4 linked regions of the Drosophila melanogaster genome follow. The gene in region 3 interacts genetically with the main gene of each other region. Each region holds a gene or a part of one and is shown on either strand. Other genes may lie near its edges. The genes, in order: trk, fs(1)N, tsl and gcl.

Evidence for each region.
Region 1: of tsl (region 3) and trk, changing one suppresses a phenotype caused by changing the other (phenotypic suppression), as found in Drosophila melanogaster (one study listed by BioGRID).
Region 2: of tsl (region 3) and fs(1)N, changing one suppresses a phenotype caused by changing the other (phenotypic suppression), as found in Drosophila melanogaster (one study listed by BioGRID).
Region 4: of tsl (region 3) and gcl, changing one suppresses a phenotype caused by changing the other (phenotypic suppression), as found in Drosophila melanogaster (one study listed by BioGRID).

The regions. Positions count from the first base shown.
Region 1 is NT_033779.5:10,269,769-10,274,702, forward strand, and holds trk (trunk), read right to left. Parts: upstream 2,557-4,934; 5' UTR 2,442-2,556; coding exon 1,734-2,441; 3' UTR 1,689-1,733; downstream 1-1,688. Other genes in the region: CG4957 (uncharacterized protein), read left to right, coding at 1-105; Mulk (Multi-substrate lipid kinase), read left to right, coding at 347-444, 506-626, 681-1,688; Utx histone demethylase, read right to left, coding at 2,944-3,138, 3,228-3,354, 3,429-3,638, 3,695-4,114, 4,198-4,337, 4,397-4,934.
Region 2 is NC_004354.4:1,319,829-1,328,940, reverse strand, and holds the start of fs(1)N (female sterile (1) nasrat), read right to left. Parts: upstream 6,429-9,112; 5' UTR 6,368-6,428; coding exon 6,227-6,367; intron 6,169-6,226; coding exon 4,132-6,168; intron 4,074-4,131; coding exon 3,944-4,073; intron 3,887-3,943; coding exon 3,756-3,886; intron 3,698-3,755; coding exon 1,927-3,697; intron 1,873-1,926; coding exon 1,664-1,872; intron 1,604-1,663; coding exon 1-1,603.
Region 3 is NT_033777.3:21,777,201-21,785,697, forward strand, and holds tsl (torso-like), read right to left. Parts: upstream 5,337-8,497; 5' UTR 5,284-5,336; exon of another isoform or gene 4,788-5,283; intron 4,706-4,787; exon of another isoform or gene 4,518-4,705; intron 2,584-4,517; 5' UTR 2,562-2,583; coding exon 2,352-2,561; intron 2,004-2,351; coding exon 1,152-2,003; 3' UTR 914-1,151; downstream 1-913. Other genes in the region: CG6800 (uncharacterized protein), read left to right, coding at 1-13; Polr1H (RNA polymerase I subunit H), read right to left, coding at 89-113, 178-397, 449-566.
Region 4 is NT_033778.4:8,721,196-8,729,531, reverse strand, and holds gcl (germ cell-less), read right to left. Parts: upstream 5,275-8,336; 5' UTR 5,068-5,274; intron 4,892-5,067; exon of another isoform or gene 4,847-4,891; intron 4,628-4,846; exon of another isoform or gene 4,467-4,627; intron 2,918-4,466; 5' UTR 2,895-2,917; coding exon 2,761-2,894; intron 2,703-2,760; coding exon 1,755-2,702; intron 1,685-1,754; coding exon 1,057-1,684; 3' UTR 533-1,056; downstream 1-532. Other genes in the region: CG30356 (uncharacterized protein), read left to right, coding at 67-516; CG30357 (uncharacterized protein), read left to right, coding at 8,024-8,336; CG14767 (uncharacterized protein), read left to right, coding at 6,102-6,275. UniProt on the Drosophila melanogaster protein: Required for the specification of pole cells and germ cell formation. Mothers with reduced glc function give rise to sterile adult progeny that lack germ cells.

The sequences.
Region 1 (4,934 bases), on a different chromosome or scaffold from region 3:
GTGCAATTATCACCCGAAGAGCAAAAGACCTATGATGTTTTTGTAGAAAAACTGAGAAACCTCCCAGGCTTAGAGGATATCTATGACAATGTGGAACAAAAATGACTTGTTGAATAAAACGTTGAGTTTAAACTTGAATAAATAAATTTGTTTCTAACTGATTAAGATACACTGTTAAGTAACAGAGTGTGCAATTTTCAGTGTTCCCGTTTCAGCGCTAAACGTTTCTGTTATTTTAAAGCTTATGTAAACTGGCTGGAATACCCTTGACGATCTAAAATCCAGCTGTTTGTGTGCGGCCAAACCAATACATGTGGAATCAAAATCATCGGTCGAAATTGAAAATATGAATTATTTAAGAGTAATTCGGAATAATTGGAAGAAATGCACGTTCGGAGCGGCAGTATCTGTGTACGCGCTGCAAGCGCTGAAAACTCACATCGAGTATGCATTCAGAAAACCGTGAAAATTTGACGCAACTTTAACCCCCTTATTTGCTCTCCAGGATTGAACAACATATGCGGGAATTCGCCTCCAACATTCAGGCCAACTGGATATCGGATCGCCCCAAAAAGGTACTGGTGGTCATGAATCCGGTGGCCAACAAGAAGAGATCGGAGAAGTTTGTAAGTAGCTGGCACACAGCTGACTAAGATGATAACCCAGCCATAGATTTTCAGTTTAAGAACTACTGCGAGCCGGTTTTGCATTTAGCTGGATATTCGGTGGAGATCCTTCGGACGAATCACATTGGTCATGCCAAAACCTACGTGGAGGAGTTGGCAACGCTACCCGATGCCATTGTTGTTGCCGGCGGCGACGGCACCTCATCGGAGGTGGTCACTGGGCTGATGCGTAGGCGCGGCAATCTCTGCCCGATCACCATCCTTCCGCTGGGACGTTCGGTGCAGTCCGCATCCAAGCGCATCAACATCTTTGGCGTCAAGGACGTCGACTATGTGAAAAGTCTTTCGAAAGCCCTTGAACCTATGCTCAAGGATGAGAGCCAGTACCAGAGTGTGATCCGCTTTGATGTGATCAATGAAGAAGATGGCAGCAATAGCCAATTGAAGCCCATATTCGGTCTTAATGGTCTGTCCTGGGGTCTGCTGGAGGACATCGATGCGGCAAAGGATAAGTACTGGTACTTTGGACCACTGCGACACTACGCTTCCGCTGCGTCCAAGTCCTTTGCCGATAACTGGAGCCTTAAGACCGACTATGTGTACACACCGCCGTGTCCTGGCTGCGTTGACTGTGCTGCTACTGTGCAGCGCCAGGAGACCGCCCAGCCTTCTGGCCTCTTCACCAGAGGCCTCATTAAGTACAAGAATAATCCGGGTGAAACCAAGAGGCCGCTCGTCAAGAACGACAATTGCAGCAAGAAGTTCGAGGGAAGCGCTGAAGCCAGCCAGATTAACATCAATTGTGTTCAGAACAAGGATAACTTTGCGGAGCTGGAAAGTCAGTTTATAAGCTCCCTGCAGCCGGGCTGGGAGTTTATCAAACAAATTCCGGAAGTCACGTGCAGCAAAATTTTACCCAGCTTGGTGGTTAAGAGCAGGACTATTCAACTGCATCCGGATGGTGAAATGGGCGAGAAGTTTTACTCCATCGATGGCGAGGAGTACGATGCAAGACCCATTAAGGTATCTGTTGTTCCCAATGCTATTAAAGTTTTTTGTTGACATTTTAAACGTGTATATTAATTAAATCTTGATTAAATGGCGCTACTAGTATAGCATAACACATTCACAGCAAAAGTTAACCGCTATTTCTTCCCAAATCCAGAGCTGCGTATAATCATTCTCAAACTTCTCTGCGGTGATCAAAATCAATTTATCGTTTATTCGAATGCATGAGCCAGTTTTACGGCGCAGTACTTTTATTGTAAATGATTTTGGCTTGCAATTAAAGTGATCATACCAACATTTTCTGGCAATACACTCGATCGAACGGATATAGCGTGGAAAGTAATTTAAGCCTAAGTCAATCCAGTTGATCTTCGACGAGCACTCCCACGGCCGCTGCTTGAACCCATCGATTCTCGGATGTCCCACACGATCCATGAAGGCGCTTCTCGTGCGCAGACTCTTGCTCCTCGGTGCCTCCTTCTTCTTCTCTACCAGCGCAAAGTGGTTGGTCTCCCAGGCGGGAAAGTGGCTAACCGAAATCGCATCACTGTCCGCATAGAAGGGCAGCTCGTACGACGATCGCTTGTATCCCAGATGATAGCTCTTCTCCTCGGGCTCGCCCGGCGGATCGATGCTCATGTAGCGCGGATTAAATGCCTGTCCCAGAATTTTGGCCAGCGACTGCGTGGATAGCTCGGCGCAGTAATCGGCATCATCTTGAGCCGTCCCCAGCACTGCCAACCAAGTGAGCACAATGGCCAGTTCACTTTGGGATTTCATAGTTGGACACAGTATACGCAGAAACATGGCTGGCTAAAAACAGGGCTACACCAATATCAACCAATTGATTTATCGTGTTTACAGCAGTTATCGTTGCTCTCTACACTGTAACTTATTTAGGTACTAAAGTAATAACAGCCAATTCAATAAAAAGAAGGATTTTAATTTCAGTGTCATTGCGAAAGATTATAAATTAAATTTATTCATATATATAATTAAAACGCATTCTAAACTTTGGATAAATTTAAAGTTTTTTTTTTTAAATTAAACTATAAAAGATGGGTCTAAATATTTGAAGTCATAATAAAATTGTCATCATAAGGTAAGTTTCGCTACTCAAGTGGGCTCCAGTTTTTTCGACTATCAAACATAATAGCCGAAAAAACTGCTCTGATGGCTTTATTCGAAAAATCCCATCTCTATATATTCGTACCGTTATGTTTTATCAAAACAATAGAGAGTATATTGTACGTTGTAAAATATACATATATTAAATCTGCATTACTTAAAATGATTCCTCGTATTACAACTACTGAGTGTATGCTAGTCCTTGGGTTCTGTGTAAAGTAAACGAATCGTACACGCGCTGCAGCTCAGACAGACGATACTCCTCCAGGCAAACGATTCCCTGGAGCGACGGAGATAGCTTCAGCGCGCACGATAGGCAGTGGACCACATGTCGTTTCTCCTGCTCCTTGATGAACAGCACATTGAAAACCTCAACCTGCAAAGAGTGCACAAATGATTAAATAAACTGCATTCATATCACCTTTGGAAACTGTATAAATATGTTAATAATACTACGCTAAATACCTCGCATTGTCCGCAGTAATGGGATGCTTCGTTCTTTCCGCGTCCATTGAAACGTATTTCCACACCTTTCGATTTGACATACTCTTGTATGTGCAATACGTTTTTCAACGTTTGCAGCAAACACATTCTGAAAATTACAAATTACATATGTATGCCCTATAGTATCTGCATAATGGTGATTCCTATCATTTGCTAACTCACTTTATCAGCTCGAAAAGTTTGGTATCAGACACTTTAATATTCCTTGCAAGATTCCAGCTTAAATGCACCATCGGCACAATGCTCTTGAAGGCCTGCACTTTATTCCACTCATATCGCTCGATGGCAAGAGAATACTGACGGGCAGTCAAGGGTCCAACATTCCACGCAATGTTGTTGCACCAACCGATCGACTGAACCCAATGGACGCATCTGAAAGTAGGTTTGATTGTTAATACATCATCCTTCCTTTCATATTCAGTGCTTACCCGGCATTCACCCAAACCAAGTCACCGGGCTTTTGTATAAATCTATAAACTGGTATATTCTCCTTGTATAAATCCTCCAGGACGGGCCACCACGAGCCGTGCAGATAGCTAATGTTGTTCTTCTCGCAAAGATTGTGAACTCCGCCCCAGTAGGCGTCAGGGACGGCAAACCATTCACAGTCGCCAGGACCGATGTTGATGTTGATTGAGCAGAAGTTGTTGTTCTCTTGGTGGCCAGGCGTCCTACTTCCGGGCACCTTCATGTACAGCTGAACGGTGTTCATGCCCAAAATGACGTGGCCCACGTGTGATAGCATATTGGCAGCGGATATAACTCGCGCAAAAGCTGGCAGTTTTTGTAGCTCTGTTAATTGTGGTTTCCATTTCTTTTCATCGGAGAGGTCCACGTTGGTCCCGAACCTAAAAAAAAAAGCGAAATAAGCATTTAATTTATGTTCATAAAGTTCGTAATGCAGACATAAATGGTTTGGAGTTTCTATTACCTCAACATTTTGCTGTTTATTTTGTGTTTTTTACGTTTGAGAACAATGTTCGAATTGGATACCGAGTCCTTTGAGTCTGAATCCGACATTGCTTGCGAGCCGGGGAAACCTTTATCGCTTTCATCCTGCGGTAAAATAAGCTACACGATAAAGTAAACTTGTATTCATGTTAAAGAGGAACCAACCCAACGAACATTACCTTCAAGCTGTCTTGAAAACTGGATGCCTGATATTGGGCATATTTGGCTATGGTTGTGTGAGACCGATGGGAAATGCAGGCCCAGACGCGCTTACCCTGCGAAGTGTCCCAATTTTCATCGGGAGACTGGTGCACTTGTGTCCGAACCTCAACACTATGGTCCGGGTTGGCTTCCACCAACGTTTTGGTCGAAAAGAGACCGAGATCTAGCTTCAAGACGCCCGCTAAGCCGCGTACAACGGCAATCGGATGTTTCAGGCAAAACTCCTGCAACTGTGGGCTGAACGCGTGCTTCTTATTTTCTAAATGAACAGAGGGTGTGGGAGGCAGGAGTTGATCTCGCGTCAGTTTCTGCGGTGGGCAATCGGGCGGAGATGGCGGCGGCGCATTCACTTGCAAAATGGTACAGTGCACGGGCGGTTCATCAATCGGCAGCAGCTTCACAGCTACCATCAACTGCTTCGAGTCCATTTGTATTTTGAACGTGGTCGAGATGTCGGCGTTGTCACCGCCAATAAAATCATGCCTCGAGTCCTCA
Region 2 (9,112 bases), on a different chromosome or scaffold from region 3:
GCGATCCATTTGCATGATGCAGTTGGATGTGGGCGGCTGGCGCAGTGGAGGGCGTGGTGGGCGGAGGACCGTCTGTTGGTGTCACCACGGTCAGCCGGGCGTAAAGAAGTCGGGGACGGTTTGCTGGTCCCACAGCGAGGCGAAGTGTTTGAATGGGTCTCCAGTCGACTTCTGGTAGCGGCAAACGCTGCTCATTTCTGTCCGAATAGGAGGCAGCAGGTCCCTCGTCGTCTTCCTCTTGCCCTTGAAGCTCTCCTTTAAGGTTTCTCAATCTCTGAATCACCGCATGCAGCTTTTCATCATCCCCCGAGCCATTTTCTTCATTAGCCAGCATCAGCACATCCAGCAGCGTTTGCTCCAGAACTTGCTCCTGGAAGCTAGAATCGTTTCCACTCGAAACCTCTCGCAACTCCTGCAACGTGGGCCAGATGAGCTGGGCACTCCGTGCGGCCAGAACTCTTGCCGGCGTGTTTGGCAGTGGAAGAGTCTCTGTATCTAGACGCCGGCGCAAGGTTCGCAATTGGCGCATCAACTCCAGAAAATCCTCCACAAGGTGCTCGTCGAATAGGTCGCTTTCTGGAATACTTAACTGGGTAATGTTTACCTCCGCTTGCAACCGGAATTCCAAGGTGTCCAGCAGACGTCTCCGCATTCTGGCCATCTCCGAAGGACTCAGTTCATGTTTATTCTCTTGCCACTGTGATCCGAGCTGAGACTTGATGCTGGGACGCTGCAGATACTTAAAAGCTTGCTGGTAACTGGGATTAGGGAGTGGCTGGTTTTTAAGCTGCTCATATTGATCTTTGAGATTTCTTAGGGTGTCCGCTGATAGTTCCATGTGCTCAGTAGTGCTCTTTGTTTTGTTCAGGTTCCAGCTCAGCAGAATGGGCTTCACTGCACTGCAATTCAAGCTTGGCTCGTTCTGATCATCCTGCAACTCGTAGCTGGTCATAAAGGCAAAGTCCTGGTTAGAGCTTGTGTTTCCCACCCGTAAAGCAACTGCCTCGTCCACAGGTCCGCTCTTGAAGGCTCCGGATCGATCGAATAAAGATCCATTCCAGCGGTGGATGCGGGTCCAGCAACCTCGCTCGTTGATCAGAAGATAACTAATGCCCCCGGGTGCCTCCAAAGCAAATACTCGGCGAATATTCTCCTGATCCCTTTCCTGATTTAAATCAAATCTCCGCCGCAGCTTCTGGACCTTGTAAGGCAGGAGAATCCTGACCAAACCCTCGCAGAACTCCCGGTAGCTCTCTTCTGCAGTTTGTCGACGTGGTCGCAGCTCATCACCCTGCTTCACCTGCAGTTTCTTTACGCGCCAGTTCCCGCTTATTTCCTGCTGCTCCCGACCTCTTGCCCATAAGCTTCCTCCGTACCAAGCCCTAAAGTCAAATCCATTGATGTTCTGTTGCGCTCTCAAAAACGGAGCATGCAGAGTGTCGAAATATAGCGGCGATTGCAGCAGCACTGGATCTTCGCCCAAAATTGCCACATCGCTTATGTTTAGACCATGAACTGGAGCAGTTACCTCCAGGGGTCCGGTGACAAAAATGTTAGACAACAATAAAGGCGTATCCACTTGCTGCTCTCGCAATGGGTTAATCTGAGGATGCAAATGAGTAATGGGGGTTATTTTGAGTATAAATTGTCGTACTTAACTCACCATTAAAGTGTTGGCATACTCCTCTGGTAGATTGTAACCATTAACAGTGCCCCTTACCACCAGCTGGCCATCTAGGAGCAAATCATCTGCCTCTAGGGGATCGCTTAGCTGTTGCTCCGTGAAGCGGGTGACAACCAGTGAGAGATTAACTTCGTTAAGCTCCTCAACCTCCAAGAAATTACCATCCAGCGATCCCTTTGCAAACGCAACTGAAATGCGAATATGATTGAATGGAATTATAAAATGAAGAATCTTTTACTCACTCTCAGGCTGTTGGAAATCGCGATCGACACGAATAGTGTCCCGGAGCCACTGGCTCACATTGCATCCGTTAAGCAGCTCTCCCGACAGTACAAGGCGATCTGCTTCAAGATGATCCATTTTAACATCAGCCGCAAAGCGAACAGGTGTTTCCAAACGTATCTCTCCCTGCGAATCCACGTAGATTAAATTCTCTAGGAACTGTTCTAGGTTGCGTCCATTGAAGAACTTGATGTGAGCTCCATCTTCAATGCGAAGACGGCCTGTGAAAGTCTTGTGACCATGCAAGTGTATGCCACGCTGCTGCTTGAAGACTAGCTGATCAAAGAGTTCCTGAACGGGCTCACGGCTGCGATTTTTCAAGTGGCCCAAAACCACTAGGCGTTCTAGCTCCTTTTTTGGAAGTTCAACGACTCCCCGGTGCACAAAGCCACCTGCATTTGGATCCCAGCGGAGCAGTTTCTGCAGATCAGCAGGAATGTCCGGATCTCCGTTTACTTGACCATTTAGCTGCAGGTCCTCCACAAAGATGCGTCCCTGAATGCGGACATTTCCAGTGAGGTGCAGCGGAGATAATTTGTTGGCCATGTGATTGAAGGGAATCCCATTCAGTGCAGCCAGATGAAGCTCTTTAGTGTTAACAGGAGCCAAGAAGCTTTTGGTGCCCTCGATCAGCACCTCGTGCGCGTCGGAGCGCAGCACAATGTCATCCAGCAATTCTGGGAGCAGGCGCTCGTTAAAGCTGCCCAGAACTTGGAGGTTCTGCTGGAACTGGGGAGATTCTTTCAGAACCCAACGCGTCCCTAATTCGTTCTGCCTATCCAGCCAAACGACTTGCCTCTGAAGTTCGTGGAAGGGTTGCATGTTCAAGGTTTCAGCTGCTTGCACCGAACCGTTGACGGCGATGCGTTCAACTTGGATGCGACCCTGAAGGATCAGCAACGGGAGCTCGTCCAGCTGCTGCAGAAAATCCAGCAGAAGGTCTGCCTTAATGCCCTGCAGCTGGTTCGCCTGCACACCCTGGGGAAGAATAAGCTCTTGCACGTGCACTTCACCCGACCAAGTCCTAGGTTGCTCCTGTAGAATACGGATCAGGCTTCGTCCATTGAGTAGCCCGTTGCCAGAGACATCATAGTTAACCTGCGCTTGCCCTGCCATCAGACGACTAAAGTTAGCTCTGCCTAGATGGAGCGGTTCATGGAGCAGCTGGTAGCCACTTGACAGCGGCACCTTGTTCAAGGTGTTTTCAACTTGTAGCCGGGTGAAATTTGGGGCATGTCCAACAAACCGAAGGCGTGTGTGGGGAGAACTCAGGGGAAATGGGCTATCTAGTCGAAGACTTTTGGAGAGTAGTTCCTCTAGGCGAACTCCGTCGTAAGAGGACTCTTTCCCAAGCTCCAGCTGATGAAAGTAAACATACCCTCCCAGTTGACTCAGATTCGACAGCGTTTGTGGCGTGTGCTTGGTAACAAAGTCATTGAGGAAAATTCCACTGAGCTGATTATCTGCGATATGAGCATCCACTGGCAGAAGCAGCTGGTCAACTCGCTTTTGTCCACTTATCTGTAGTTCTTGGGCAGAGTTCGGCGAACGCTGAACGAGATCTCCTAGCAGAGAGCCAAAGCTGTCGTTATCCACCTTTCCAAGCAGCCGCAAAGGGCCACGCACAAGAAGCTGTTCGAAATGGCAGTCGGCACTGATAACACGTGACTCCAGCAGAGTGGGATTTAAAGGTGCCTCCTCAAACTGCCTTCCCTGGGCGCTGCCATTGAGCTGCTTGGTGATAGGGACTTAGTAATGAGAGCCAGTGAATAGCTTTCTAAGTACAAACCTCCAATTCTTCAGAAACCTCCAAATGCGAGAAGGTTACCAATCCCGGCCATTCCTGGGAATCACTGAGAGTAATGACATCATGCGGGTATACGGCGTTGATGGTTCCCGTCGTGTCCACAGCATTTGCAGCTATTGACGATAAGGAATCTTAGAAGGAAGTTCCTCTTTTCCGTTTAAGATACTCACAAAGCGTTTGCGTAAACTCCTTTGGCGCCTGGACAACACTCGTCTCATTTCCCTGCGACCAGAGATAGTCTCCTGGAAAGCTTAGGTCGTTCAGAGAGTGCAAACTTAGTACATCTTCGAAAATGACCGGCTGTAGAATGACAAAGATTGACTTAGCAATTAAAAACTCTGCCGAAGGACCCACTTACTCCCTCTACATGTAACTGCGAAAGCTTAAGAGGCTGATGACGCCACACCAGATCTTGAAGCAGCTTGTCCCACTCCATTTCGTTAATAAAAATGCTGTCCAAATCCGTAGCCATCTTCAGAATTTTGTATGATTCTGCACCGTGGACTGGGACGAGCTCCAATTTCGGAGCTTCCAGAAGTTCCAATTGCTGAACATTGAGGGTTCCCAGATGCAAGTCAAGGGAGCCATTTCGGATATAGAACGTCTCATGGTTGAGCTTCTCCAAGTTAAGTTCCACAGAGTCAACGGCTTCTACTTCCAGTTGCTCGTAGTGAAAGTTGAACAGCGTCTCTGGCTGGCGTTTAGATCGCCTAGAACTCATTTCCCCGTCCAACAGAAGTATCTGCTGAAGCAGGGAGCTTACATCCACAACAGCATCCGCTCCCGTCCAGCGAGCTTCATTAACGAAAAGTTCCTCAACGGTTCCGCCCTCGCTTACAACCAGTGGAGTTGATAGCTCCTCGATGTACTGACTCTCCGACTTCTCTGCCAAGAGCTCTTCAGCCAGCTGGATTAGCTCTTCCTGTTCGTGCACCCAATCCTGCATGAACTGTCGGATCTCCAGCAGGTCCTGTGTCTCCGAATTCCTAGCCAGCAATTGAGTTTCCAGCACAAAAATGCCCGTAGGAGCTTCTTTCCTGGGCACCACAACCAGCGGCGGCTGATTCGTCGAGCGGCGGAGCAGGACAGCTCCTGAAATGCCAGCCTCACGATCCTGATCCAACATGCAGCCCGCCCCATAGGCAGTACCACAAGGAGGCGGCAAGCCCGCCTCAAACGCCTCACCGTTCCAAACCAAAACCTCCAGGACGAGCAGTGAATGTGTGTCAAAGACAACTCGATGCTGGACGAGCAGAAGTAGGTCGTCTCTGTAGCTGCGCACGGGGATTGGAAGGTAGTGGTCTACAAATCCAAAGTTCTGGCCAAGAATGGTGCGTGGCACAAGCTGACCCTGCACGTAGACCAGGATCTGCGGCATTATTCCACCCAGCGCAAGGTAGCTGCGTCCGCCCATTTGGAAGGCAGTGACGCCGGCCACCTCGGGGGCAGCAACTTGTTGGCGCAAGTGCAGCGGTTGCCCCTTCGAAGTGCAGGCGTATATCAGAACCTCGTCCCACTGACCCACTGCCAAGAGCAGTTCCCTCCCTGTATCGAGAATGGCCAGGTTGGAGATCGTCTCTGCCATTTGCACACGTTGTGCGATCCAGAACTCCTCCGCTTCCAAATCATAGACGTAGATATTAAGCGTGTGATTTGCTACGAGAGCGAGGTAATCTTGTCCCTCCATGTTGAATGCTCTAATCTTGGTCACATGCGAGCCAATCGTCCAGTGCCAGATGGGTTTTAGCCCAAGACTGGGCTCCAATCGCAGCCAGATAAGCTGATCCTGGGAAGCCATCACCAGCAAACCTTCCTGCATATGCACCCTTCTGTTCCAGCGATCTGTTCCCAGCATGGCGGTGATGGGAAAGGGGTGGACATAAGACTGCAACGGAGTGAATTCCTCTGAAAGAACCAGGAGGCCCTCCTGCTGCTGACCCACAAGGAAAACGCTTCCATTGGCCTGGAGGGTCAGCCAGCGATCCACATCCGTCGGCATGCTGTAGTTGAGCAACTCTTCAATGCGACCCAGGACGAGCATGTCGCGGGTGCGCCTCTTGGACAGCTCCAGGCGCTGTAGTTGTTCCAGGTCCACGGTCTGCGATGTCGAGTGCGACTCCACCACATTGGCTTCCTGTACAGTTGCTCCCAGCACCTCCTGACGGGACGTGGACACTTGAGCCGTGCTCTCCTTGCTGCTGCCTCTTGCTTTCAGCAGAGCTTCCAGCTGGAGGACCTCTTGGTTCTGTCCCTGGTGAGCCACCGCCTGCTGAATCTCCTGGCGAATGGCGGAGGCGCTGCTCAGCGAGCTATGGTCCACCACCACTTTGGAGGTCTTTCCAAGCGGCATTTGCCCCGCCTGCTGGGTCCACGTGGGTGCCACCACCACTCCTGGCTGGGATCGGCTATGAGTGTTGATTGAAAACGAAAACCAAGCTCACTAATTTACTCACTGGTGCTCCTCCATCGTCGTGTTCCAGAGCTTTTTCTAGTTCGCTTCGCAGCTTGGCCACCTCGGCCTTTTGGTCGGTCAGGGGCCGCGGTGGGGCACTGGCTATTAATGCTGGCCAGAGCAGCAGGTGCCAAATTAGCATTTTGCACACAGTTAATTGACAAAAAACCAAACACGTGAGGCAGATATGCGAAGAAAAAACTTTAAACCGTTTACCGTTTTAAAACGGGGCTGCCGGATCGCTAGAAAAATTAGTCGCGACACGCTCCGGAAAAGTGCTGCCAGAGCGGAGCAGTTCGGCTATCTGGTCACCTTGCCTTTATCATTTTCTGGTCTGGTTATCAACTTCCCTCATTTTCATTCGTGTTTTGAATTTGCTGCGACCGGACGCGTTTTCTGTGTGAAGGCGATTGCGCGGCGCGCGTTTTCGCATCTTAAAAACGGTCGAGTGCAACAAAACGGGGGAGTTGGCCCACAGCGATCGGCCGGTCGGAAATGGGCTTTTGCTGAAGAAAAGTGAGTCCTTGGGGTTAACGGTGAATGTGTTTTTTGTGCAAGTTGGTGGCTTCTATTTTTTTTTAAGTGCGCGGCGTTTTGCTTTTTGGGCGTGTGCCAAAATCATTGCTGCTTGAAAAAGGGAGCAAAAAGGAGTTGCTGGAGAACGTGAGAGTGGGACGGAGTGAGAGAGAGAGAAAGAGGCGCAGAGAGCCTGCAAGCAATTCCCGTTTTACCGGGGTTGCGATTAATGCAACTTTTGTGTTTATATTGTGCTGCGAATTTCCATTATCTGGGCGTCCGCTTTTCGGCCACTATTACCGTTATCTAGGCCCAGCTCCTGTTTACCGTTACTGTTTGTGAGTGTGAAAAATCAATAAAATTCCCTGTGCGTGCGCCCAAGTGTGCCTCTGTGTGTGTGTGTCCAGCAGCCGGCTGACGTTGCTCTCTCTCTTTCCATCACTTCCTCACTCTCACTTGCTTCCCTAGTAACTGTTCCTGCATCAACAACAACAACAAATATAACAACGCAGCTGCTATTAATTTTGTTGTCAAAAAACGAACAAATTGCGTGAGTTAGCTAAGCTCGCGTGTTTAATTAGTTTAAAGTAACGCTAATGAAACTCGGCTAGCTCGCTGTTATTGTCTTACCAAAACCGCTGCAAACAAACGAACGAGCGAACAAAAACAAAAACAGCAATTTTAATGGGCCGACGGTAAACACAGTGCGCGAATAAAAACAGAAACAAATTCGTAGAAGCTGTGGGTGAAGTAGAAGATGAGAACTAATTTCTAATTGCATGATTGACACTCGCACTCCTTCCACCCGCCCCCGCCCTTCCACCTATCTCACTGATGCATTAATCCAGTTTGTTTTGCTTTTCTTCTTCGTTCTGCTCGCACTCCTTCCTTCGCCCAATTTCGTGCACTTTTTGGGAATCAGGGAACTTTGGGGAGTGACTCACTCACGTTTCTTGCCGAGTGTCATAAGCGTGACTCACGGCCATGACCCCGTCCAAATGTGGCTGCCCTCCCACTCGCGCCTCCTTTAAGTGCGTCCTTGAGATACAAATCTCTCTCGAGTGGACACTTAACATGCGAGGAAGAGATGGAGAGAGCAAGAGAGAGGGAGGGTGAGAAGGGAGCGACTTGAATTCTTCCTTGGCGCCCATGCCGTCACTTTGGGGCGTGGCCAGTGCCCCCTGGCGATGAGCTCACCAGCAACAACAACAACAACAAAAACAACAAACGCGCATTTCCCCGGGCAGCGTGGATAAAAGCGATGATGCAGGGGGCGGAGGAGCAGGCGAGGTGCACGAACTTGACATTGAACTGCGCTCGGGATTATGATCCGCTCGGAGACTCCTCCTCGATTCGCGTTCTTTGGAATCCAGAACCCGGACATCAGATCACGATTTCGCGTCATCGTTCTCGCTTTTGGTGTTCAAATTCGGGATCGCACCCAAACTGTCTGGAATACTGGAATCAGTGCTCACATTTGAAAAACACATGAATAACTTATAAATGCTTTTTCAATTCCTAAGCATGAATTACTCACTCACTGGCTTCTTTTAACTCTAAATATTTGTTCTACATAATCTCTCACAAGCTTGCTGCATTTTGAATTCCACAAACCTTGTACCCACCATTATAGACAAGATCTTCAGGGCATTCCAGAATCCTTGTGGCCGAGTCCAATAAGAGATGCTGCCGCCAGCTGGCTTTCGGTGTGGACTGTCAGCAGCTTACCTAAACAAAAAAAAAAAAAAAAAAACAGGCAGCAAAGCTGGGAAGCCAGATCTCTTGAAGAGGTTGGTGCCCTTTTTGGGCTGCGCCTGCGCACAAAATTCCTCTGCGTCCTCTTCGATCTGCGTCTCCCGATCTTCATGCCCAGCGCGTGCGTGGCGTTACGCTGGGCTGGTCTGCTGGGAACGGAGGCAGGAGTTCTCGTGGAGCAGGGGCAGTAAACCTGCCTCCAATGTCGAATCCCACATCGAAGGCGAAGCTAATTTATCGCTCCGAATGCGTTGTTTTGTTTTGCTTTTCTTTATGCGAACTTCTTATTTTTAAAAGAGGAGGAGAATTGTGAGATTGCCATTTTTAGGTGTTTGTTTATCGGCTCGTTGACAACACGCGAAAACATTCGCAAGTCAAATTCGCTGGCGTTTCAGGGAATTCGGAGCTGAAATCTGAGATTTCTTGTACCAGAACCCCACGGTTTTGCCTAACTCTTGCATTCCCGCTTTTGCTTACTTCGCCAAAAGTTAGAAATTCTCAAATGGGAACCAAATCTGATATAAATAATTACACATTTTTTGGTTGTTGGATTCATGCGTAGAACCGTTTGTTCTCTCAGCCCATTCTTCTCGATCGGTTTCTCTTTTGTTCAAAG
Region 3 (8,497 bases):
TTATAATTGGTAAATTCTATATTTCTCAGGCCGTCGAGCATGATTATTTTCATTAATCTAGGACTATTTACACGGACATTGCTAGCAACTAAGAGTTTTCGGATTCTTTGAATCTGCAAGGTAGAATGTGTGTGATTAGTTGTGGAAGTGAAGGAATATGTTTATCAGGACACCTACTTGCACTTAAGGCAGGTAAAGAACACCGTCTGGCCTTCGTCCGCCGATCGAAGCTGCAGGGTGGCATAGGACATCTTGTCGTGGTTGCACTTGGGACACTTCCTCTCCACAACGGGGCCATCCGCGTCCGATTCCGACTCCCTTTTCGTCCTGTTGAACACCTTGCTGGGATCGTAGGTGTTGAAGTGTATGGTAAACTCGGACTTCTCGCCGCTGTAAACTATTTTTAAGTGTTAAATAAATTAAACAAAGTTGTAATTTCTGGATTTACCATCTGGCTGAAACTCCTTCTTGCAGTTGTAGCAAATCACATTGCCCTTGACTTGAAGCTCGGGCAGAATGGAGCCGCAGGAGGGGCAAAAGCCCGGACAATTGGAAAAAATATCCATGCCAGTATATATCACCCAAAATCAAAATCAAAATACAAAAACCGCACGTGCTATTTCGGATTTCAGTATGAGCGTAACTGAACCGTTTGAAATATACCACACGGTATTAAAAATATACTTGATTCATATACTAAATACGTAAGGGTGGAAAACTAGAATAAGTCTGGTTGAAAGCCTTGATGAAACGGGTAGAGCCGTTTACCCGTTTCGATTACCGGTTCTTAATCAAAATCAATTATTCAAAATAAACTTTCAAAATAGTATTTGATATTCATAGCCAATATTACGTAATGAAAACAGTTAGATTTTAATAGCCAATATCAAGTTATGAAAACAGTAAGATTTTTACTTTTATCTTTACTTTGTATTAAAGTTTACAAAACTATTACATCAATAAGGCGATCTTACGGTCTAGTTAGCTGAAATGCAAGTCGGATGTGTACTGTGTTCCAATTAAACTACCTAAAACTATCACAGGCAGAACATTAACTACGCACTAGAGGTTCCTAACTACAACTAAGCATCTAGGAACTATTGATCCTTGGCTGCCACATATCGCACAGTATATATATATTTAAAATGCAGCTATCGGGTGGGATGACTCTGCGGCATGTTAAGCTCCCAGAGCTTCACATTGTTGTCGAGAACCTCGTGGTACCAGCTCTCCTTTTCCGGCTCCTCCCGGAAGATGGGCTTCAGCGACTTGAGGTCCAACTGCAGTATGGCATCGTTGCCGAGCAGCGAGTCCAGGGATCGCAGTAGAGTACTATTACCGTGCAGTTTCAGCAGGGTCACATACTTGACCACATAGTACTCGTACTGCAGCTTCCTTCTCGCCCATCTTTCCACTGTAGCATTGGCACTAGCCGATCGAATCTGGCCCAGATGGGCGGCAAACCAGGGCGCAAAGTAGTTGTAAAGATCCAACTTGGACAGTCCGTTCAGACCTTTACTCTTGATTCGCTCCTTGATCATGCTGTAGTTCTTCCTGCTGTACACAAACACCTGATACAGCGAATTGCCGGTGGTGTATGAGTTTACGTAGTGGGTGCCCACATCTTCCATAAATCGCACTGCGGAAGTTATATTTCCGATTTGCAGTTGATCCATTCTCGATCGCACATCCGGCTCCAAGGGTTGGTGCACCGGAATCTCAGCGTTAAGACGCCCCGTTTCCCTGAAGCGCACCACCCTCACCAAAACATACGAGTAATCGCCTTGGATGAAAGATGTATTGATGCCCAGCTTCTTGGCCGCATTATCCGGAAACCATCCGCCAGTAAATGCCTCCCACGGTTTGTCCATTCGCTCAATGGAAAAGTCACGGAAGTAGGCCTGGAACAGTTGCCTCCGATTCTCGCAGAACTCCATGTGAAAGTCTCCATGAAAGATTCCGGGCGTGGTGTCTTCATGACTCTCCGCCAGGCCACTCAGATTCTGAAAGAAAAAAATCATTAATTATCTAATTGTCTAGTCAGCTCAATTATCAGGTAATAAATATCAAGTGACATACTTGAATAATCGTATATAATGATCGTTTTCCTAAATCTGATCAAACAAATATAATAAGCGCTCATTCTAACGACAAACGTGGCGGAAGTGAACAATATAATTACAACTAAAAATAGTTTTAAGTGATAACAACTTTAAACCCTATTTTAAAATTTTGATTATACTCCAAATAATTATGGTGATTGTGGTTAAAGGTTAATACAAACAATTCCGAGTTCATCAACGCCATTTAATTTATTAAATGTAAGCTTAACTCTGCCTTAAGTCCCTTACCCTATAGATGTTTTTGGTGGGCTCCTTAAACACCCAGCGATCCGGCTCCGAGTTGTCATTGAGCGGTATCACACGCATGGAGATTCCCAGGTAGCCATAGCGCAGGAATATATTGATGGCCTTGCCGATCCGGAGCTGGGACTCGCGACGACCTCCATCCGCCAGGAGCGCCAGGGTCAGCAGCCAGAAAAGGCCAGGCCACGACCGCATCGCTCAGCATTCAAGGTTAGATCTATAGAGGATTATAATAGAAATATTATATTGCAAATTTAAAGCGATTACACTTGAATTAGGCAAACGTTTCCATATTCCATATCCATATAATCCCTTGCTATAAAATATTATTGATTGAAACAAACGCAACCTATTCCGATCTCTTATAAAATTCGCAATTTAACAATAATGAGGCATATCTATCCCACAATAATTTATTCAAGTGACTAGATAACTCTTGATTGCAATGTGCATATTGATGACAAGCAAGTACAAACAGCGCTATACCATCCGAACTCATTACTCACTTAGACTAAAACCGGAAAGTTTTACAGCAAGCTACTTCGGTGGTTTGTTTATATTTTATAGCCAGTGCAGTAGTTGCGATACAGTGGGGTTAACTAAACAGCAATAATTGCAGGGCCGCCGTGTTTGTTTTCCACTCCATAAACGGGCGATAATATAAGCGCGCTCTAATTGGCCATGAACCTTCAGTGGCGCTGAACTTGAACCGACCAAGTCGACTTGGGTAGAGGCCACCAGCTGGTGGTGATGATGAGCTGGAGCTCTGCGTAGCTCCACTCTGATCACCTTAAGTGGATGCAATTAGCCGCAGGCTCTGTGGCCGTAAAAGCAGCTACAAAGTATAGCCATCAAAATTGGTTCGGCTGTCGCTTTGACTTGCAAATTATTTCCTAAAAACATTTTGCATGCCTCGTAACCGTTTTCCTATAGTTGGCCCACTACACTTCAGAGGACCGGTTATGCCGTTTTTGTTTTTTTTTTTTTTTTTTTCTGTCCAAGCATTATGGCCGGCAAGGAAGCCAAACAAATTGGCCCAAGCCAGACATATACACACATTCTAACAGCTTGGCGAGGCAGCTTTTAATTCGAGCCGTTATCACAGAACGAGCGACGTGTTTGATGGGCCAAAAACACAGAGGTTAGCCGGGTGTTAGCCACGTTTGTGAGTCACACCTGTCGACCCGACGCACTGAAGCGCAGCACCAGACAAAAAAAAAACACAAACGCAGCCATGATGAGACTCAAATGTTAACCATTTACGTGAACCATAAAATGTAGGCGTCGCTAAACTTGTCCAGCAGCAAAAACTAAACAAAAAACAGCAGGAAGAGTGACTGAATGAAACTAGCCGTGAATGGAACAAAGAAAAAGAGACATTTGACTACTGCATCTTGTCTATACTTGCCTATAGTACATATATTACTGCCCATGGGCGCGATTCCAGGAAATATTTGTTTGCACATTTTATAAACACATGAATATTTGCTAAATGCTGCAATCAGCTGTCTTGACCTTACAGATGAACCTCACAGATTGCAATCACTCTACGGATTTAAACATTCTGACTCGGCATAGAATACGATTTCGAAGGCTTCCAACTTCTGGCAAACAACTAATGCCCAAATGAGCTTAGTTCTCCATCGCGAGACCCAGAAAATCAAACTGTCGCACAATTGCCAAACTTGAGGTTCAAAATTTGAGATCCGCTTGAAAGGCATGTGTTATGTGACTTAATGATAGTTAGTTTTGTCGGTGGGGGTATTGACAATAGCGGACGCATAACCTTGTGCAAAAGACCCCAAAAAAAAAAAGAAGCCGCGAACCGGAGTTCGAGATGAAGAAGACGAATTAAATCAAAAATTCAATGCGCGCACTCGGACTCCAAAGCAAAGGCAACTAAAAATCAACTCGTTCAACTGTGACTCCCTGTGCACTGGGAGAAAAGAGTGTGGCTATCTAGGACTAGAACTGAATAAGAGAAGAATCAGTCAGCTCTTAACTCCTCTTTTGAGCTATTTGGAATCTTATTCCAATTGTTTATGCTTTTATCAGATTTAAATCGTTATTAGATTTGTTATTTGGCCTATATTTATCCAATAAGATTTTATAATGTGTATTTTTCTTGGACATCCTAAAAAACCTGCATACATTTCTCTCAGTGCTTCCCACCGTGGTTGTCCGCGGCCCAGTCAATTGGAGATTCTTTATGCGCATTTCATGAGCTCTTTTGTGGTAGTAGTCTGGAGTAAACCCCGGGCGAAGGGCACAGACGTGGGGCATAAGGTCTGCAGTTTATATCGCGCTTAATTTTATGCTTGGTCCGTGTGCGTTGTTTCCTTGAGCGGTGTTAAACAAAAGTTGTCTTGACTGCTGCTGAGGTGCTGCTGCTTTTGCCACTTTTGTGGTAGTATTATTTACCTGCACGAGAACTCGAACGCGAATCGAAATTGACGTAACCATCGGCCAGAAGCGGCTTGTTTTATTTTCGGCAGAAGCTTGAAGCTCCGGCTAATTCTATATGCCAGTCGACACAAATCCGCAGGTCTAGAGTTGTGGCTCGCCACTGGTTAGCCTTATCGCTCTGATACCGGGGGCCATTGCACAAGGCTGGTTGGCTGGCTTTATGGCTGGCATTAGCATCGTTAAGACTCCGATTTTTAACGCTTTGTGGGTCAGAGGTCGGCGGCTTGGTTGGCGCCCTCAAGTGATAAGACGGATCTATGAATAGATCGCTGTGGTTCGAATTACATGCGTTTGCGCAGATTTCAACAACCAACAACGTACACACACACACACACAGGCAGTCGTCAAGTACCCTGAACGGCAAACACTAAAACAGACTTAAAACACACTAAAACGAGCGACGACGTGCCTTCAATTGCAATTATAAGCCGGAATTTGCGGCAGCACTTACACTCAAAACGCGAGCAGCACACCTTCAAGCGCGAAGACTCAAAACCTAACTGAAACTGGCTACCAAAAACTCGATCGCCGGAGAGAACAAGCCGATCCGTTCAAGCAGCTACAGCAGCAGCAACAATATATGTTGCGCTACGACAGCAACATGTTGCTGCTGTGCGTCGTGTCGTCTGATCCAACCGAGCAACTGGCAGCAGTTGCAGTTCAATGACTGGCAGCCAGCAGAAGTTCTACTCCTCCAACGGTAGTGGCTATGGCTAATGCTAATGGCCTGGCACAAATATCTATTGTTGACATCTGCCGTTTGGGGGGACAGCTTTTCCGCTTATTAATATTTCCGAGCACGTCGTTCAACTTCCAGTTTTCTTCAATGGCGCGGGGAGTCGGAGGGCTGCCGAATCGAGGCAGATTGAAATGATTGCAGTTTACCCGGGCCAGACTTGCGCAAGATTCCCATAGAACTGGGCGGCCAGTAATCAAAAACTTTTGGTACTACTTGTGCAAAAAAAAAACTAATAATGAGACCAAAAGTAAGCCGAAAAATAAAAACGAAAACGAAAGTATCAAATTCGCATTACCTTGAAAACATGCTAACAAATTTGGGTCAACTCAAAGTGTTGGGCGACAACGTTTGAAGTTCGAGTGTAATGTTTCAATTAGAAGCTCAAGATACAAATGTATCTGTATCTGTATCTGTTGCTCAAAGAGCCATGGCTGCAGGGCATCCGCTTTGTCGCATTTGCCTTGACTTCCAATGGCCATTGGGAATTTCTGCAAAATTCGCTGCTGGCTTCTAAGAAATGAAAAGGTTCTGATTTGAAGTCTTTTTTTGCTGCTGATATGGGGGGGGGTCTTTCTTTTGGAAGAGGCGTTGGGGGAAGGGCTTCCGAAAAGTATTGCAAAAGCTGGTTGAAATTGTATCTCTCGTATATTTTTCTCTTTTCATATATAGAAGTTCATTTTATTACTTTTGTTTCGGTTTCTGTGTGGGTTTTGCTTTGTCTTTGCAGCATGCATGATTCAAAACTTATGTATTTAAAATTCGGTATTTCAGTGTTTACTCGTTTTTATTTAATTCTCATTCCAGTTTCTTCGGTTCTTTTTCATTTAATTTATTATTATTAATCCCATGTTTAAACTATGTATATATAATGACATTTTTATCATTTATTTTAAATGATATTTACTAACACCGCGGCCTTCTGCGCCCCAAACGATCGATCGATCTGCCGATCCATTCATTTCACTTCATTTATTATTATAATAACAATTCACTCAATTAGCTCAAATCGCGTCAATCTACACATATTGACATTGGAGATCATAAGCATTTTCAACTCATCTTTACCATCGTTACCCTCGGTATCATATCATCATCATAATGATCATTGACTTATGAAATTAGAGAAAAATTCTAATTCATTTGGTTTACGCGACCGTGTTCATCTCACTTCTGCGTCTTCCTTTTCTTTTTTTTTTATGTAATATCAACAATAAATTTTTACTTAATCTTAGTGTGAAATTATTCTTAGAGTACAGCTACAATCTGCTCGCATCGGCTAAGAAAAAAGGATCAAGTAAAAGTACGAAACGAATCATTCGAAATCCTAGCTCAATCTCAGGATACTCTCTGTCGGTATCGTTTTCTTTTTTTACCCCCCATTTCCAATTCATTTCAATCGTTCCTAATCATTGTAATACCGTAAAATATAAGATTTTGATTTGAGCATTCTTTTCCTAATCATTTCATCGATTTTTGGTGTTTTCTGGCACACTTAGCCTGGTTGGGGGAGCTTCAAAATGTACATACATCTATCTCAAGCCGTGTCATCTATAAGGTTCCTCCTCCTATCTGATCTCATCTCATCTCATCTCGTCTCGTCCGTTCGTTCAATCTATCGTTCGCTTTAAGGTATAATACTTAGTTAATTTGGCCACTTGGCTGCATTTGTGGTTGTGGGTAGGTAGTTAGTTCTTCAGTTTTTCGGGTAGGTTCGGTTGTTCTTCTTTTTTGGGATACTTCTATGATTTGCATTGCCTCTCCTTAACTTCATCGCTGCTATCTTCATCTCATCTTCATCCACGCTCAGAACCGAAAAGTTATAGCCCAGCGTCTAACGATAATACTCTATGCAAAATTGTTCAACCATTTTGAAACCATAGAATTGTTCTGGATATAAGTATGTTCTTCAACTTGTGTGGTGTGCGGTTGGGAAATTCAAGTGGGTCGTGTGGTTGGGCTCGAATATAAGCTCAGGCTTAAATTGTTTTGAGGGACAGCTAGAGAATTGTGTGGCACGTGTATACAAATGTGTGTTGGTTAACTACTAAGTTCGATCTCCAGTGTTTGTGACATATCTTCGATCCGATCCTAACCCAAAGTAACTACGTGTTCTTGGGACTCATCAACTACATGTAGTATGTGATTGCTTGTGAACTTCGTAGACGTAGTCTAAATTCTGTTTCTGTTTCGTCCATCTCAGAAGCTCTATGTTAGGGAAGCTAATTCAAAATTACCAATTTTCTTTCGAAACTGAATATCTCCCATGTGGGGGCTACAGTGAGGGAAAAAGCGGAAATACTGAGCGCTGGTTGCTGATCATGAAGCTGCACTAAAAAAAATGCCAGGTTTCTTCATTGCTAAGACAGTTTGTCGGTGTCATTGTAAAGTATCTCGAAAATTTGAAGCTGCTGCTTGCTTGGGTGGTTACTGGGCCAGTGGGTTTACGATTAATTCAATTCAATTCAATTCAATGCAAAGCGACTTAGGATCTTATTCGATTCGATTCGGTTTTGGGTCTCCTTGTTGAGTTCTCGTTTTTGGCTGTGGGTTAAAAGGAAGCGCTCCGCTATATTATTCTTATTGAACTTGACTGATTTTCAATGTATCCAACCTGAGTTTGAGTTGTTCGAAAAATATATATATGTGTTGTGTATACATATTTTCTGAATTTCCTACTTTCATTTTGTTTTTGTCATATATATTTATACGTTTATCTGCCTGTTTTGCGTTGACCTGCAATCTCCTCATCCTTTCGCTAATTATTTTAATTCGTAATTGCAGTTAGTATGTGTGTTTTGTGCTCACTCTATGTTTTTTCCATTTGTTTACTTTGCTTTTGCTTGAATTAAACGCGGCTGCAATTATTATTATGTATTTTTTGTTTTATTATGTTTTATTGCATTTTTTTTGTGGCTTACTCATTTCT
Region 4 (8,336 bases), on a different chromosome or scaffold from region 3:
AATACATATATGTATACATATATATTTTAGACTCGTGTATTCAGATGATTTCAAATTTCTCCCAAAATGGGACGTGCTGTAAAAAATAATAGAGTAAGGTCGGCCCATTGCAACAGTGCCGCCAAGGCGACGTCAATCAGTGGACATTCGATGCTAAAGCAAAACAACGATTGCAATGGACGCAACCCGTTCTTTCAGTTTCTGGCCTACTTTCGAAAATGTTCCAACAACTGCCTTGGCCACTTGCCGTCGGATCGGGTAACTCTAATTGCCGGCAAGGTGTGGAATTACATGAGTCTGTCGGAGAAAGAACCCTTTATCGCTGCTGCGCGAAGATTTAACTACACGTATCGATCGCGGAGCAGAAAAGTCAACTGGGTCCTGGCGCAACTGCGAAAATCCGCTGCTGGGGAAGAATGCCGACCACAGGCACAGTGGATGTTGATGAACTTTTTAAAGTCTTGGCAGGAATCTGTGGTGAGGAACCTTCTCGACCTGGATCACAATCAAAACTAAATCAGAGCAGATTTTTATTAAGTGTAATCTTTAATAAATGATCACTCAAGGTAATAGTTACTGTGCGTACATTTAGCGAGTAAAAATGTGTTAGGGACAGTAATTACATGCGTTGAACTTGCAGGATTCGAAGACGCTTAAACCATAATTTCTTTGCCGCGTTTTTTCTTGTTACTTAAACATAACAATTAATCTTTAAATTCCAAATTTACAAACTATTTGCAACGCCTACATATTGTGCGAGGGCACTAGAGTGTGCGTCTACTCCATTTAAGTAGATGACGTAAAGCGTCATTACATGATACTAGTGATGTAAACGATATACAAAAATATAGATCTGCGCATTCCAAAACGATTGCGGATATGCTTATACTCGATGTACAAACGTCTAGATGGAGTGATCAGCCGTAGCTAATCGCGATGGCGATAAACGAATTTACAAAACAACTACAACGAGCCCGAACTGCTGCGGGTAAATGAACAAAAAAATGGTGGTAGTGGTGGTACTGGTATTGGTTTGGTGGACTGCTCAGCACGTGCTCAGCACGCCAGTTGTCCGCAGATTGCGCCCGTTTCGCTAGCCGACCAAGCGATTCTGGGCCGTGGGGCTGGCGAGGATGGCGTCGAAGGCTCAGAGTCACCAATGAAAACGGCCGAATCATCAGCACTGGACGGGGACAGCGGTCTGTCGCTGTTTGCTCCGATTTCCGAAATGGGTATGGAGAGAGAGGTTGTCGCCTCCTCGCTGAGCGGAACAATTTCCTTGAAACTCTGATTCGGTGGCATTACCACCAGCATGTTTATTGAAATGAGAAGTGGATGCACCAACTTTGGGTCTAACACCATGAGTGGCACCTCCTCGTTCTTTTCGAGGCTAAGAGAACAGATCTCGGACGTTTGGGTGAAGACTGCCTGGCGCTGGGCGTTTATCGAGGTCACCGTGGTGCGGACCATGAACTTGCGTTTCGTCTGCAGGCTAAGCACTCGCTCGTGCTCGTGCCGGTGGTGCCGACGAATGTTCAGTCTACGCGAGTCCATGATCAGGATGAGATCCATGCCAAAGTTGAAGCCCGTCCAGCGCCACTTCTGGTAGCCAGGCTCAAGCAACATACGTCCGCATCGCATGCAGTTCTCAAAGAACTGCTCATCGTCCAGCTGCTGAGGACTACTGTGAATGCAGAATAAAAGGATTTTAGTTTTTAATGATATAATTCCAGGAGAGGCTTCAGAAGACTTACCAATCCTCCTGCCCATGATCGATACGTAGTAATGCATCCCAGTGGTTGTGAATGTGCCGATACAGCCACTCCTTGGGTATAATATTGTCATTGTATATGATTTTTAGATCCATGTAGTGGTTGGTCAGGTACTGGGTTCGTAGCTTCTGAAAGACCTTCACATAAGGCTGCCCCTCGGGCGTGGCCAAGAACGAGCGTTCCTCCGAGCGGCTGGTAAAGTATGTCCACTGGACGACATCACCACTAGGCGCATGCGTTTCCACGCCGGCATTAACCAAAAGCTCCTGCGTCTTTAGCGCCTCCGCCCGCTGGACCGGGTCCTCTGGATCGTAGTCGGGATGCAGTCGTAGGAACATCCATGTGCGCAGTAGAGTGTACAGCGAGAACTCCGTCTGCATCACATACAAATCGGGACTGGCGGTCAGGGCACTCATCAGCTCAATGGAGATGTGCCTAAGCAGGTTCGGTTGCTTACTATAAATGCTTAGCAGATTGATCTGGAACCACTGAAAGGTGGACTTCTTGACTCCGACCACACCGTACTGGCAGGCGGCCTCGTAATACTGGATAGCTGTCTCCGGACTAATGTTATCCACCATCACCTCGGCACACTTGTCGATGATTCCGTCTAAGTGGAACAACGTGGCTGTGGCCAATACCGAGATAACATCTGCTGACTCGATTTCGATCTCATCGGAATACATGGAACCAAAGACAGCATCCAGGCTAGCAACGGTGATCCGGTCGTCCAGGATTGTGATCTGAATGAAATTCTGCTGGGCTTCCCGCCACGTCCCATTGAACATAGTATAGAAGTATGGACTCTGGCTCAGGTACACCTTATGCAGGTGCCAGACCTTATCCAGAGCCATGACAGCCACATCCGAGTTCTTTTCCTCCTTGAAGAGCGCCTTGTATATGTACTGGGTGGTAGTAAGAAGTTTTTTTCTGCGGAAATTAAGCAGGTAAATTAAATTACCTTAAATTAATTAAGGTAACCACTTACTTTTTGGGCTGAGTGGTGTCTAACTGGGCCGGATCATCCTTCCCCAAAGATGAATCAGTGCTGCGCTTCCGCTTCCGTCGATTGCTGAACACCTCAGCGACGTTCATATGCATGGATCCCACTATTTGACCCATGGCTGAGCGCAGGAATTCTTACTCTGAAACAGCATATATACAATTTTTTTTTTAGATTTCCCTACATGAATAGAGTTTACAATAAAAATGCGGTCTGTTATCGATCTGACAGATTGCGTGTTGATGGTGCCCTCAATGGAACCAGTTGACCCAGTTTCATTCCGCCAAACTGTAACGCCAGCCGCTGTTAAGGCGGGGAAACCTTTCCCGGGTGGGCGAACATTAGTGTGGGCGACTTTACAGGCCCTAAAACCAAGTGGAAAGCGCATCCATTCATAAACAATGGTGATGTCATAAGATATCTGAGCAGCGATGCTCGGAAAACTTAAAGTCATTTGTAGATTGCAAGTAACTGAACTGATATCTAGCTTAGTCTTTTTGATTAGGTACGCAATAAGCCCAAGACTAATTATTAGATTTTACAAGTCATGTATCTTAGTATTTTAGTTTTTAAAGGTGTGTATAAAGGCAACATTTATTTTATTAAGGTCGACAAAATGCAATTCAATTTGTAGAGTCTATTAAGATTGTGTGCATGGAATACATAATGTAGTAAGAAACAGAGAAGCATCCGTTCAAAGCGATTTTAACGACCTGAACCGCACTGTAGCGCAAACATATTTGGGTAATTTTAAAGGGGCGGGACTCTATAATTAGAATGAGATCAAACGAGCTCGATTCCATGCGCGTATATGTTGTGTTTATGCTTTGCCGCCAAATGCTGGAACTGGACGAGCTGATGTAACCATGTCAAGGCCGCGTTGGAAGCTACTGCTACTACACGTATATATGTGTATTTGCTGCCCATAAACAATCAAACGGACGCTTTCGTCACCTCATTGGATCTCATTGATATGGGCGACCGGACAGTCTCGGACTATGGATATCTATTCGGACGCAGACTAAGCATAAAATAATGATGATGATGATTTTGCCGTGGTGGAGAAAGGTTTGTTTTGGTGTGGCGCAGTTCCGAAAACAAGAGTAGTGTTCCAAACCGGTTCCCAAAGCGTGTATTTCTTATAAGACCAAAACAAGACGATTGCAGCGCTTTAAATTACGTCACCACTTGAAGCCAGAGAGCAGAGAGAATTGAAGATTGAGAGGGAAACAAACAAAAGGGGGATGACCAAGACCACCAAACAAAGCCGGACCTCCAAGTATAACCCGAGTTTCCAAAAGTCGTAGTTTAGAAATTAAAGGAAGGTTTAGGGTAAACATACATGTTATTATAGTCAACTATTTTTAATTTTTTTGAAACATTTGCAGTGCCTGAAGCTTTTGTTTCGATGGTGGTAAGATAAAGTGCATTTCCAAACGATTTTAAAACATGTTTAAAATAAACTTAATAACAAGTTTTCACGCTTGACAGATTTTATCTACTGCACCTTGGGGGATAAGGTTTGCTTTCGAAATGTATCATCCGGAAGTTTAAGTTTATAAAAACGTAAGCATATGATCTTCTCTTTGAAGACCCACTCCAAACATTTTTAAAGGAGGATTGTTCCACTTTTGAGATAAACTAAACACATGTAAGATACTCTTTTTTTTACACATGTAAGTTAGGGAAATGACAAAAAAAATTAATGTAGCCCAAGGAGTTAACGGCTAAATAACGTGGGTGATCGTCGGAAGAAGCCAACAAGCATGGGCGGAGACTCGAACTCGAACTCGCGCACTGATTTCGTAGGGAATTCCAGTTGCCTTAGACGACTGAGCCACCGCGGCTGGAAAATTTGGGACGTCCGAAATCGGAGAAAGGTGTTTGAAGCAGGTTAATATATGTGGTTAACCTACAGATAAGGCTACAAGCAGCACTCTTTTATTTATGGATGCAAAATCAGCTGATTGACAGCTTAAAACGCTTATTTACGATGGCCTGTTGTTTGGCCCTGATAACACGCGATTAGCGATATGGAAAACGGACCACCAGACCATCAACTTTTTCTCACTTTATATCCCCATGTTCCTGGCTGCGAAGTGCAGTTAATCCGCAGCTATAAATAGCAAACAAAAGTGAATTCGGTGGGTGACGTAGTTGGGAATAACAGAGAAGGGGTGGGATGGATACGTACTAAAGAGATAGAGAGAGAGCGACAGAGAGCGCGCTAACGAACGACGCAAAACTGAAGGAAACAAGGTACACAAAGGGGAACTGATAAACGAAACTTACTGTAAAACTGCAGTTACAGTGCCGTACTTTTATATAACAGCAATTGCACCCCACGTTCACTGGCTTCGTTTCAATAAATAAAATAAACACGGGCTAAAATTCTACGCGAGTCTGATTAGGCATGCGGTTTAAGCCATTTCAATTCCGTTCGCTGTCAATTTTATCTCTGTTTTGCTGCAGTTGGCTCTCCAAATCTTTTAGTTATGGTCACCCTACGATAGCAAAGCATGTATTTTGATTGCATCGCTGCTATCGATGTTTGCGGATTGGCGCTTTAGCGTTCGCACCGGTCACACTTACCGTACTTTTTAAAATTAATATTTACTTTACGATGCGGAAGCACAAACCTATCTTGAGTTGCTCCTTTCGAAGTAAATTTTAAAAATAATATTAACTTCAATAATAGTAATAAAAACATATCAATTTACATTTGGGGACACAAAATACATAAACTATGAATATTTAGAAATAAATGAGCTTACATCTCTTCGTTTTGTTGTTTATTTATATGACATCTAATTCAAAAATTATTGTATAATATCATGATATTTGCGAATAATGACTCGTATAAACGTTACCGTTCTGCAAAACGCATAATGTCAGTGTGACCGTGTTGCGCGGCATTTTACCACTTTCAGAGATTAGTGCTCACGGGTTTTCGTGCTGCGCAGCAGTTAAATAAAATTGAATACATCAAGAGCTGCAGATATAAATCGGAGTTGAAAACCAGTGCAAGTTGCATTGGCCCACAAATCAAAGGTACGCCTTATAAAGGAGAGTGAATCAATTGCCGAATTAGTAGTGCAAAAGGTCAAAGCATCAGTCGTGAAAAAGTGGCACACATAAATACAAATGCATACATACATACTCGTAGATGCAACACACACCTACACCTAAACACACATACACACACAAACACACATCCGTGGGAGGAATAAAACACCCACAATTGCTGATTATTTTCTGCACTCGTTATCGTTATCGCTTTCGTTTTCGCATTCATTTTCCACAGCCGCAGTTTCGTGGGGCGTGCAATGTTTAGGATCCACCTCAAGATGGGTCCCCAACGCAACCAGCTCCACAGCAACAACAACAATGGTGCCGCCGGAAGTAGCAGCAGCACCGGAAACCGTCACCTGAAGGAGTTCACCTGCTGCTTCGGCCTGCATGTCCACACGGCCACTTTGATGATCGGATTGTGGCACCTGGTAAGTGCATCAAGGGGGGTATCCTTTAATCCATACATGCGTGTGTGTATATCGAGATACACCCACGCATGCAGTCCTGCGGCATTTGCGAAAAACCTTTGACCCTGCTCAGTGTCACGCAAGGGAAAAATCAATCAGCCAATGACTGCAAAACTTTGCGAAGACGAAGACGAGCCAACTCTGCACTTTCCCCGCCTGTGACGTCAATTGGTGGCTGATTGGCCGCTGCTGCGTCATCTGATCAAATTTAACTACAGTATAATTCGCTTAGCTGCCTCGAGTACTTTGCACAATGCCTCGATGCAGGTAACTTAAAAATGCAGCTAACTTAATTTTTTTTTTTCTATTTTCTATTTTCTATTCACACAAAAAAATGGAAAAATAATGCAGATATCTTGCCGATGCAGCTAACTATCGATGCAGCTAAGCGAATTATACTGTACTATCATCGGGGCTTTTTGGCACAACAACTTATTTCTGCCATCGGTTCCACTGCGGAAGTTTCCACATCCCATGTCCATTGTCCGAAACTAACCTTTCACAAGATCTGACTTCGCATTAGCAATCGCTACACTTGGAGAAATGTAAAGCATTGTCGAATTTTCAAAAGTTTCATAAGAAATTAGTTTTATTGGCTAAAAAAAGGGATATAAATGTGCAAAGTGCAGTATTTTCAGTCTTGTTATCAATGTTTTTGGAAACCCAGAAACCTTTGATGTCTCTTCTGAAAATGAAAGAGAATGCTCTGCCCTTAAGAGAGCGCGAATCTGCGGCCAATAAAAGATTTGAGTCGTTGAGCAAAAACCCTTGCTTAATAGTATTTGTCTCACTACGCTATTCGTGTATATTTTACACTGTTCCGCTACTTTCTTTATGCTTTGATCAGGTCACGTTTTCCAGTAGAAAACTCCGTCACATGGGTTGATTATGGTGTGGACAGCAGTGGAGTTATCTTTTCTAATCTGTCCAATCTCAAGGGTTTCTTTGTTTACATTTTGTAGATATGTATGGCGTTAGAGGCTTTAAAAACAAAGCAATTCCGCAAATCGAAGGTTGCTTGTTGTTTGGTTGACTCATCCCCAGAGTGACAATTGTTGATATACTGCGGCGCACTGCAGATTAAATTTCATGATGAATTTCTGATGAATAATTTAACTAAAGATGGCAAGTTGCCGCATCTCGGGTCGTTGCAAGGCCTTCAACCTGAGATACTTAGATACTGAATCGGATATCCAACGGCAGCCATCTGAGCAAACAGCAACCAGAAACATGAGCGTTCAAGTTATTTTTAATAACTACACGTACTCGACAAGTGATGCGAAAATATTTACTCTTGTGGTGGCTTACTCTTGCTTTTCGGTAAGAAAGATATATTCTTCTGGAACAACATTCTGAAGCGTGCTGTCATAAATCTGAGAATTGTTAATTCAGCTGTCATCTATCAGCACACAGGCTGCAAATCAAATCAGGCGAAGCTTTCTTATCTTCTTTTTTGCCAGCTTATCTTCATGAGCGGACCCATGCACCTGCTAACGCACTCGAAATACTTTTAAATGTTGAGCTATCATTAAAGTCCCCCCTCGTGATCCTTGGGAATCTTTGCTTAGTTTGTGACGTTTACAACTTATTCACATTTTTATAAATATTGTTCTGCTCACACAAAAGTCTACATTCCCCACTACTTCCAATGAAATTCCATCCGGAGGAAGCTGTCCAACTGGTGAAGGCATTTGCGAGATTCGAATGCAATGCCCCACACAGACGACACATTTCCGGAAGGCAGTTCTTGTTGTCCTATTGACATTGTTTCCTCAAATAAAGTCATCCTGCGCGGCTATGCTTCTAAGGCGAATAAGGATGTCGAAGCGGTGGAGGAGCTAGAAGAGATACAGGAGATGAATGATGAGCTAAGGGATTTGTTCATCAATACAACTGCCATCAATTGCTCGTCCCTTTCTGAACTAAAAATCCAGACTGACGCTTTCAACACCCTTAAAGAGCGTACACTATTCTCATTGGGATACTCGACAGCCGGGCTTTTAAAGAAATCAAAAATCAGTA